Oryzias latipes: one gene and its partner. The protein of the gene in region 2 interacts with the protein of the main gene of each other region in a pairwise test. Links are inferred from orthologs where the notes say so. Each region holds a gene or a part of one and is shown on either strand. Other genes may lie near its edges.

Region 1 (4,062 bases), on a different chromosome or scaffold from region 2:
ACAATCTGTTTCATATCAACAACATCGGTTCGTAGCATGACACATCAGAATACAAAAACCGTCTGAACGCTGCCTTGTTTTAGTCCAAGAAAGGGCATTGGGGGCAAAAGTTACGAAGAAAAAGAATAAAAAGAAATTTCATTTTTACAAGTAGACCCGTGCATTTTGTAAATTCACACATAAAAGACAGACTATGAAAAAGGGGAAAACTCCTAAAAAATATCAAAGTAAGCCATATTTTATTGTTTACATATGTAACATATTACCCAAAATCTTTACTCAACACAAGGCAAGTTATTTGTCAAATTACAAAAACTAAAAGTATTTCCCCATTTTTGATATCATTTTGCATTTATTAAAAAACTAATTTGAAGTGATATTTGTTGCTATTTTTATTTTAAAACCCGTCAAACATTCTTTTTTAATTTATGAATATGTTTAATTATATTTCTAATCCAGCATAAACCTGCCAGTCAATGTTCTCTAAATTAAATTTGTAACAGAATTTTAACAACCTGTTAATTTAAGATGGGGGAAAAAGTGTATAGGATGAAATACATACATATGTGCACAGATTTGAAACATTTCTTGTTTTTACTGAAGGCATTCCAGTTGATTCTTGAATGTTTCCTCATGCCAACGGTTAGCGGGTCAACAACATGTGGACGGAGGAGTCTTCGGAAGCACACGCATTACCCGCAGCTGTCTGGTTATCTCACTGTCATCACCATCACTAATGTTCACAGTTACAAACAACAGCATGATCCCTTCAGACGACACATTTACCGACGTGCTGTTGAGTTGTTGTGCACAGGTTGTTTGCTTTTAATAAAGGCTACAGGTCTTAAGCAAAGACGATCTAAAACAAGCTTGAGGAAAAACTGGTATAGGCTGGGTCCAGACACTCCTTACTCTCAAATTACTCAAATGTGTAGGTGAGGTCTGAATGCTTAGTTGACGGGATGTGAAACCACACACAACTAAGCACTTCCCTCGCATGCCTACAAATAAAGAGGCCCTGCTTTTAAAGCAGAGACTGGAGAGCCTCTCCATGTCGTCGGCTTCTCAGCAGCCTCTTGTGGCCGCTAAGTGGAAGTGAAGATCCAACAATCAGAAAATAAGAACCCTCCATGAAATTTTAGTAATGATGTCACTACATGAATAACTGGAGGACAGTTATTAAGATTTTACACTATAGCAGTGAACATATGTGAAAAAAGTATATGTAAAGTAATATGCAACAAAAAAATGATATAAAAATGTTAAATAAAAACTAAACTAGCAATGCCCGTGTTAGGGTCTTTTTTAAATGTAAATTTAAATGTTTGAATGGGCAAAAAGAGAACAAGTTGTTACACAATCTTGACTTTTTTTTCTTTAATTGTCTTTACTGTGTACTTGTAGATTTTTTTAATAAATTAAATAAAAGGCTAAAAGTAAAAGTTGACTATTGATCACTTTTCACAGAACCTTTGAAAACTATGCAAATTTAATTATTTACGATTTAAGGAATTTGCAGAATTTAGAGGTTTTTTTTTTGTTTCCATGTCTTATTAACACTAAAAATTCTTGATAACATTTGTTTTTATGTATTTTCTTTAGTTTCAGGTTGCTCCTGTGAGGGCAAATCTTGATTGTAATTGTAGTTTTTAAACATCAGATGTGTTAATAGCCTTACGTCATAAAAAGGACTTACTTTCTTTGAGCTGACGGAGCGGCGTAGTAATCTGCCACCAGGTCCTGGTACTCTGGAATTACTGTTACTGCCGGATGGCAGGGTACTGTTGGATGCGGAGCCGGAAGGGTTGCCCAGTGAAGCCGGCTTTTTCTCCACCAGATTCTTCTGGGATGCAATGTTGTTGTTTTCGTTGAAGCTCAATGACTTGTCAGCCTGACTGTTCTCCCCGCCTGAGCTCCTATATTGTCCATTTTTGATCTGGTCAAGGTATTCCTTGAGGACCAGCTGAGTTTCAGGATCGCTCAACCAGTTGAGGAACAGCTCATCCACCTTCAGTTTGAGAACCGGTTGGAGGACTTGTGGAGGCGGCATGCTAATAAAGCTTTCAGCTTTGACGAATGTACCTGTGTCAACAAACAAACAAAAACAAGTAACACTTAACTACATCACTGACCAGTGACGTGTTGCTTGTTTAAGGAAACATTTGATAAGTTTGTGCCTCCAATTGGCTAAAACACTGTTACTGGCATGATTATAATGAAAGTACCATCTTTTCCGCAATAAATCCTGACAGGAAAACATTAGCAATAGCTGCTTGGGAGTCAAATCTGCTGTGAAGTCTGATAGTCAAGCAGGAAGTCATTAAAATGATTGAATGATTGAAGTCTAATTCATCGATGCGTTAGCCCATAAGGGCAAAAGTAAATCAATGTGAATATAATTTGACCCAAATAATACATTTCACTTCTGGCTACACAGAATATATCTACAGAACTTGAGGGTTTATCAAATAAAAATAACCTAAAATGATCTCAGTTCATAATAAAGAGTAGCCATTATTAGCATTTCATTTTAATGTTGTCAAACGAGGCTTAGAAAAGAACAACGGTGCTAGCAAAAGAGCTAAGGCGGGCTAATGACAACTGACTTATTAATATACAAACCTCGCGATTATTAGGCAACTCCAGATGTGTTGACAAGTCATCCCGTCAGTTTTCCTTCATACGGGACGCTAAAGTTTGTCTGTGGGACTGAATAAAAAAACACAATTGTGACTACTCGCTTGCCGTTTCGGCATATCTGAATGAAACACAGCAAACAACTTTTTGAACTCACGCTCCTCTAGTAACCACAGGCTGTTATCGCGAGACTTTCCTTACCAACAGGAAAGGAGGGAAAACGGGTAGAAAAATAAATAGGGGCCGGGGGATTAGTCAAAAGTCAGCCTTTTCACAATTAAAATGTGGAAAATTTGGTTTTTATCTTTAAGGTTTTAATTCTTTTCCATGTTGAAAGTGCATAAAGATATTCGTTTTTCTTTTTTGGAGTAGTTGTACATTTACCCCTACCACACAACTAAGTAAACAATACTGAAACGTTACATACAATTGTAAATTCAATGTTAAAGATTTTATATGGTTAAAAAAAATAAACCATTAGTTCTGCTTAATGCTACATTCACAGTCACATAAAAAGAATGATGTACACTTAGTCTTATTCATACTTGTCTGTTTAAGTGTACTACTAGTATACTTTGTCAGATACTAAAAGTGAGGCAGTATACTTGAAGTTGACTTTTTATACTATCTATATTGTAAAGTTAAAATGAAATGTTCCAATTTAGTCTGAAGAAGTATGAAGAAGTATTACTAAATAGTATTAGTAGTAGGCCATACTATCTACACTACACGTATGGTTTATAGTAGACTTACTATACTCAAGTGGCGGCGTGGTGCAGCGGTAGGGCGGTCGTCCCATGATCGTAAGGTTGCAGGTTCGATTCCCGCCTTGCACGCCCATGAGTCGAAGTGTCCTTGGGCAAGACACTGAACCCCACCTTGCCTCTGGTGGTAGGCGGGCGCCTGTGTTTGGCAGCGGAGCGACCACCAGTGTGTGAATGTGTGTGTGACTGGGTGAATGGGTCTGTGACTGTAAAGCGCTTTGTCCTTGTAGGAAGAAAGGCGCTATATAAGTATACGCCATTTACCATTTACCAAGTATTAATAAAATAAACTTCAAGTTTGCCTCTTTTTGCAAAGTTATATGACACCAGTTTCTCATATAGTTATGGAGGACTTATTCCGATTTTGACTTTCCCACATTTTTTAACCTACTTTTGCCTTCAAATAGCTGAAACAGAAACACATTAGTGTTTTGGAATCGGCCTACATCATTTAAATGAGTTGACGCTCTTTTCAGGTAGTATAAATATCACAAATGTTTGTGTTGTGTAGTCTGGTGCTCCTGACGCCCATATATGTTTTCTTTTTCCATTTTTTTGTTGCTCTTTTTCTTTTGGGCAGAAGTCATGAAGCTATTTTGTATGTTGCATTTTATAATGGTTATGAACATTATCCTTACTGCTTTGGCACAACAACTCATTG
Region 2 (3,952 bases):
AAAAAAATAAGATTTTTATGCTAAAGAAAATTTAGCCACTAATTACCATATCTAATATTTCTAAGCAATTCACCTGCACTTCCGGCATCTGTATGACACCTCGGAGGAGCTGGAGTGGGCGGGGTCATTAGCAAAAATATCTCTTGGGACTTGCTGCAACTCTGCTTATACACAAATAATAAGAAACAAAAGTTGGGAAAGGAATTCCCTCCTGGTGTTCATCCACAGCAGCAAAGCTTTGCTTTCACCTGGATATCTCTCTGCAATCTTGTTCAGCCTGTATTGTTTGTACAAAGCACTAGATGTGTCCACCTGACATAGCATGGACTCATACAGCTGCAGCTGCTCTTCAAAACCCCTGTTGACCCTGAAACACACCCAAAAAAAAAACAAATGTTATCTTTTAAGCTCTTGTTTTAAATACAGTTTTACCTTTTGCTGGTGTATACATGACAATGCACTTATTAAGATTTTTTTAAACTTGTTTTTCTGAAATGATAAAAAAAAATCATGGAAATAGTCCCCATAAAATCTTTTACCCTGCTTTACTTCTATATTCCTTTATCAGGTTTATAACAACTGATTTTTTTCATGTACATTGACTTTCAACGTCTGTTATGTTTCTAAATAAAAGCTTCAGTCTTTTTTCAATGTTCACTTCTGGTGAAAATGCAGTTCAAGTCTTCAGTTTTCTGAAAAGTAGATGTTGGAGGCAAATCAGCCACAAAGGAAAATATGTCATAGCCAATCAAGAGACAGATGGGACAAAGATTTCCTCTCTACATGCTCCTTCTAAAATCTTTTTCTTTTTTTTTGCTGACATTTGTTGTGATAAAGTGACAGAAGATGTATTCAACAGAAGTTAAGCTTTCTTTAATAGCAAAAAAAAAGCTGAGTTTATGAACCCCCACATTTGATATAGGTTTAATTAATATTTTTATTAATGAGCAGCCCACTAGAAGCACTTTTAGAATTTTTTTTAACTGTAATTTCCAAAAATATATTGACAGAAACATGAAAAACTTTTTTTTCACAGCCAATTGCTTACCTACAATGCTGACAAACTGACCTAGCCAATTTTGAAATACCCTTAACACAAACAGAAGACATACTGGGAGAGAAGGGAATGACAAATACTTACTGAACATCTTGTTTGACACTTTTCAGTCTTTGGTAAGCTTCAGGGAAGGCCAGATGGTGTTTCTTCATTAAATATGCAGTCACAATGGTGGCGCTGCGGCTTCGACCTGCATGACTAATGTGCACAAAAAATAGTTTTTAAATAAGCGTTGTCCTTCTGCATTTTGTGCTTTTATATGTCGTGTCATCATGCACCAAAATGGATTCAGATTGCACATGGTTGCATAAATTCAAGGATGGAATGCGTGGAAAACACAGAAAGGAATAATGAAGCCATATTTGACTCTTACCAGTGAACCAGTGTAGCTCCGCCCCCTTTTACAGCCTCATCAATGAATATGTTGCAGGCGTCCAAGTAACTGAGCAGATCAGTCGTCTCTTCATCTAAAGCATTGATCCACTTTCTGATGAAGTTTCCTGTGGCAGGAATCTGTGGACCAGGATCCACAGATTCCACAGACAGGATGTGGGTGACCGAAGCTGCAGCGAGCGCCTGGCAGTCGTTCAGGTCAGCTGCAGTGCCGATGTACACTCCTGGATCTACGAGCAGCATGACTTCAGAAAAACACACAGGGATTAAAGGAAAGTAAAGAGAAAAATGAAGAAAAGTCCTCAATATTACTGAGCACAGGAAGAGTTGTGGAGCAGACCATCTGATCAGTTTGATCTGCGGAATTATTGAGATATTGAAACTGGCCCATTCATTTCCAGGTAGAATCATTTTAGCTACACAGAACTTTCTGGCCTTTCACAAAGCATCTCATTTGTTTAAATGAAAAGCAAAGTGAAAAAACATGATATTTTGTTTTCTTTGCTTACATATAGTAATAAAAGTATTTGTAAAACGTCTCTATGAAACAAAAACATTCCTCACTATAAATAATTAAAAAATCTAAGGATACAGAGTGAGTGAAGAGGATTGAACGTCTTACTACTTACTGCTGTCTGTGAACTGTATTATGGAATTAGTGTGTATGTTAATAAAGTCATAACACATTTTATGGCAAATATGCTTATTCTTCTTCTTTTAATTACTTAAATAAGGGGGTGTGACGTCACTAAAATATGTTTATTTGAAGATTTTTATATGTTCATCCCCCCCTCCCTCCCTCCCTCCTTATGTTCACTATTTCAACTTTTAAAAAAAACGCAGCATCTTCCACGTTAAATGTCTTTCCAATTTTTACTTTTCCTTTAATTTTTACAAGTATCACATTTTGTTGTGATAATTATAAAAACTACAGTGTAACACTCAAATGTGTGACTGGTTCTCTGACCACAGAGCAATACGGATTTAAATGGCATCACCGAGCTTCCATCTTCATCTTTAATTTAGGCTTAATGTAACCCAGCCTTCTCGGGTCACATACCAAGACAATTACCTGATTTCTTACCAAACAGCAACGCCCTGCTGCTAAACACGCGTGCACATAACACCGTGGTGCTGTGACAGCCAGCCTCGCAGTTAACTAACTCCGTTAACTAAACTCGTTAACTAACCTCATTTACTTGAGTATGTCGTTTCTTTCCTTCCTGCAAATTTTGGCTGCTTCAAACCTCAAAGCATCAAACGTGCAAAACACACAAAAACTAACTTTAAGACGGACCCTAAAGGCGTGAGCACCAACGGGACTGGTGTTTTTGTTCGTCTCTTAAAGCTGTAGGGAGGAAACACGACATCATTTTATAGTTCCGCTGATGATGATCGCACCAACACGTGTTTTTTGTGTTCTGCTGGAAGGTTTGATATTTTTACTAAAACAAAAATAATGTCATGACCTACTCCTCTTGCTCTAATTTTTTACAAATTTTTATTTATAATAACCATGTAATTTCCCAAACCCAAAGATTCATATAATGCATGCAGCAACAACTTAATAAGGGGTCATGTCTGAAGCTTTCGTGAGCCCAAAAAAACAGCTCTCTCTGATCAGAAAAGTTTTAAGTGATCAGGGAACTGTTTAATAAAGTTTGCCTAGCATCAATCTGAGTCTTAAAACTTAATTTTGCCTTTTCTATTTCTGTTTTCAACTTTTTTGTAGCAGAATTTTGTCATAAATATGTAACCAACACGAAAAGAGATTCAGAGACAGAGCTTTTCCCATTTAAGGTGTTTTTTTTCAAATAGTTTAACTCATCATTGAAGCAGACTCACACAACTAAACACACACATTTTGCTCATATGGCAAACATAGATTTTCTACTGGGAAGAAATTTTTTGTTCTGTAGTAATGTAAAATCTGAAGAACTCTATAAAATTTGGGCCTATTTTAAGAAATCAATAACATTTTTTACACACACTGATGTCCTGCAGACATTTACATAAAAAAAACAGAGTTTTCCAACCATATTATATTTTGTTAAGCGTGTATTAAAAGCAATAGTTTTTAGGATTCCAATTGACAGCATATACTGAGAATGTAGATTCAATAAAGCCTATTGTTGTATTTGTGTCAGTCAGACTTGACTTGATTACCACAGTGAAATAATGTGTGAAATAATGTGTTGTGATGGGGCTTTTTTTATGAGTGAAAGGTTATCATGTATGGAATGATTTGGGATGGGTCTGAGCAGGTATTAAGGAGAGCAGATTGACCCCTAATGTGCACCTGGATGTTACTGATCCAAAAACATTCAGTCATTGACCAAATGGTTGCTGGTGTTAGTTTTTGTTTTAAATTACAATTTTTATTGCAATTATTAAAATACGATAACAATAAAAGAAGAGAAAATAATATTTCCCAGAGAGAAGGCCCTAGTTTGAATCCTGGCTGGGACCTTTCTTTGTGGAGTTTCCATGTTTTCTTATGGC

The links.
Region 1: the proteins of dusp12 (region 2) and serine/threonine-protein phosphatase 2A regulatory subunit B'' subunit beta interact in binary tests that used the Homo sapiens proteins (3 or more experiments, as listed by UniProt). The two-hybrid records come from large-scale screens. The link is inferred for Oryzias latipes from reciprocal best matches to the Homo sapiens genes DUSP12 and PPP2R3B.

Annotation. Positions count from the first base shown.
Region 1 is NC_019879.2:6,992,253-6,996,314, forward strand, and holds the start of serine/threonine-protein phosphatase 2A regulatory subunit B'' subunit beta, read right to left. Parts: upstream 2,801-4,062; 5' UTR 2,623-2,800; intron 2,083-2,622; 5' UTR 2,051-2,082; coding exon 1,697-2,050; intron 1-1,696. UniProt on the Homo sapiens protein: The B regulatory subunit might modulate substrate selectivity and catalytic activity, and might also direct the localization of the catalytic enzyme to a particular subcellular compartment.
Region 2 is NC_019875.2:21,143,540-21,147,491, reverse strand, and holds the start of dusp12 (dual specificity protein phosphatase 12), read right to left. Parts: upstream 2,801-3,952; 5' UTR 2,641-2,800; intron 2,581-2,640; exon of another isoform or gene 2,523-2,580; intron 1,696-2,522; 5' UTR 1,694-1,695; coding exon 1,431-1,693; intron 1,256-1,430; coding exon 1,142-1,255; intron 368-1,141; coding exon 249-367; intron 162-248; coding exon 74-161; intron 1-73. UniProt on the Homo sapiens protein: Dual specificity phosphatase; can dephosphorylate both phosphotyrosine and phosphoserine or phosphothreonine residues. Can dephosphorylate glucokinase (in vitro).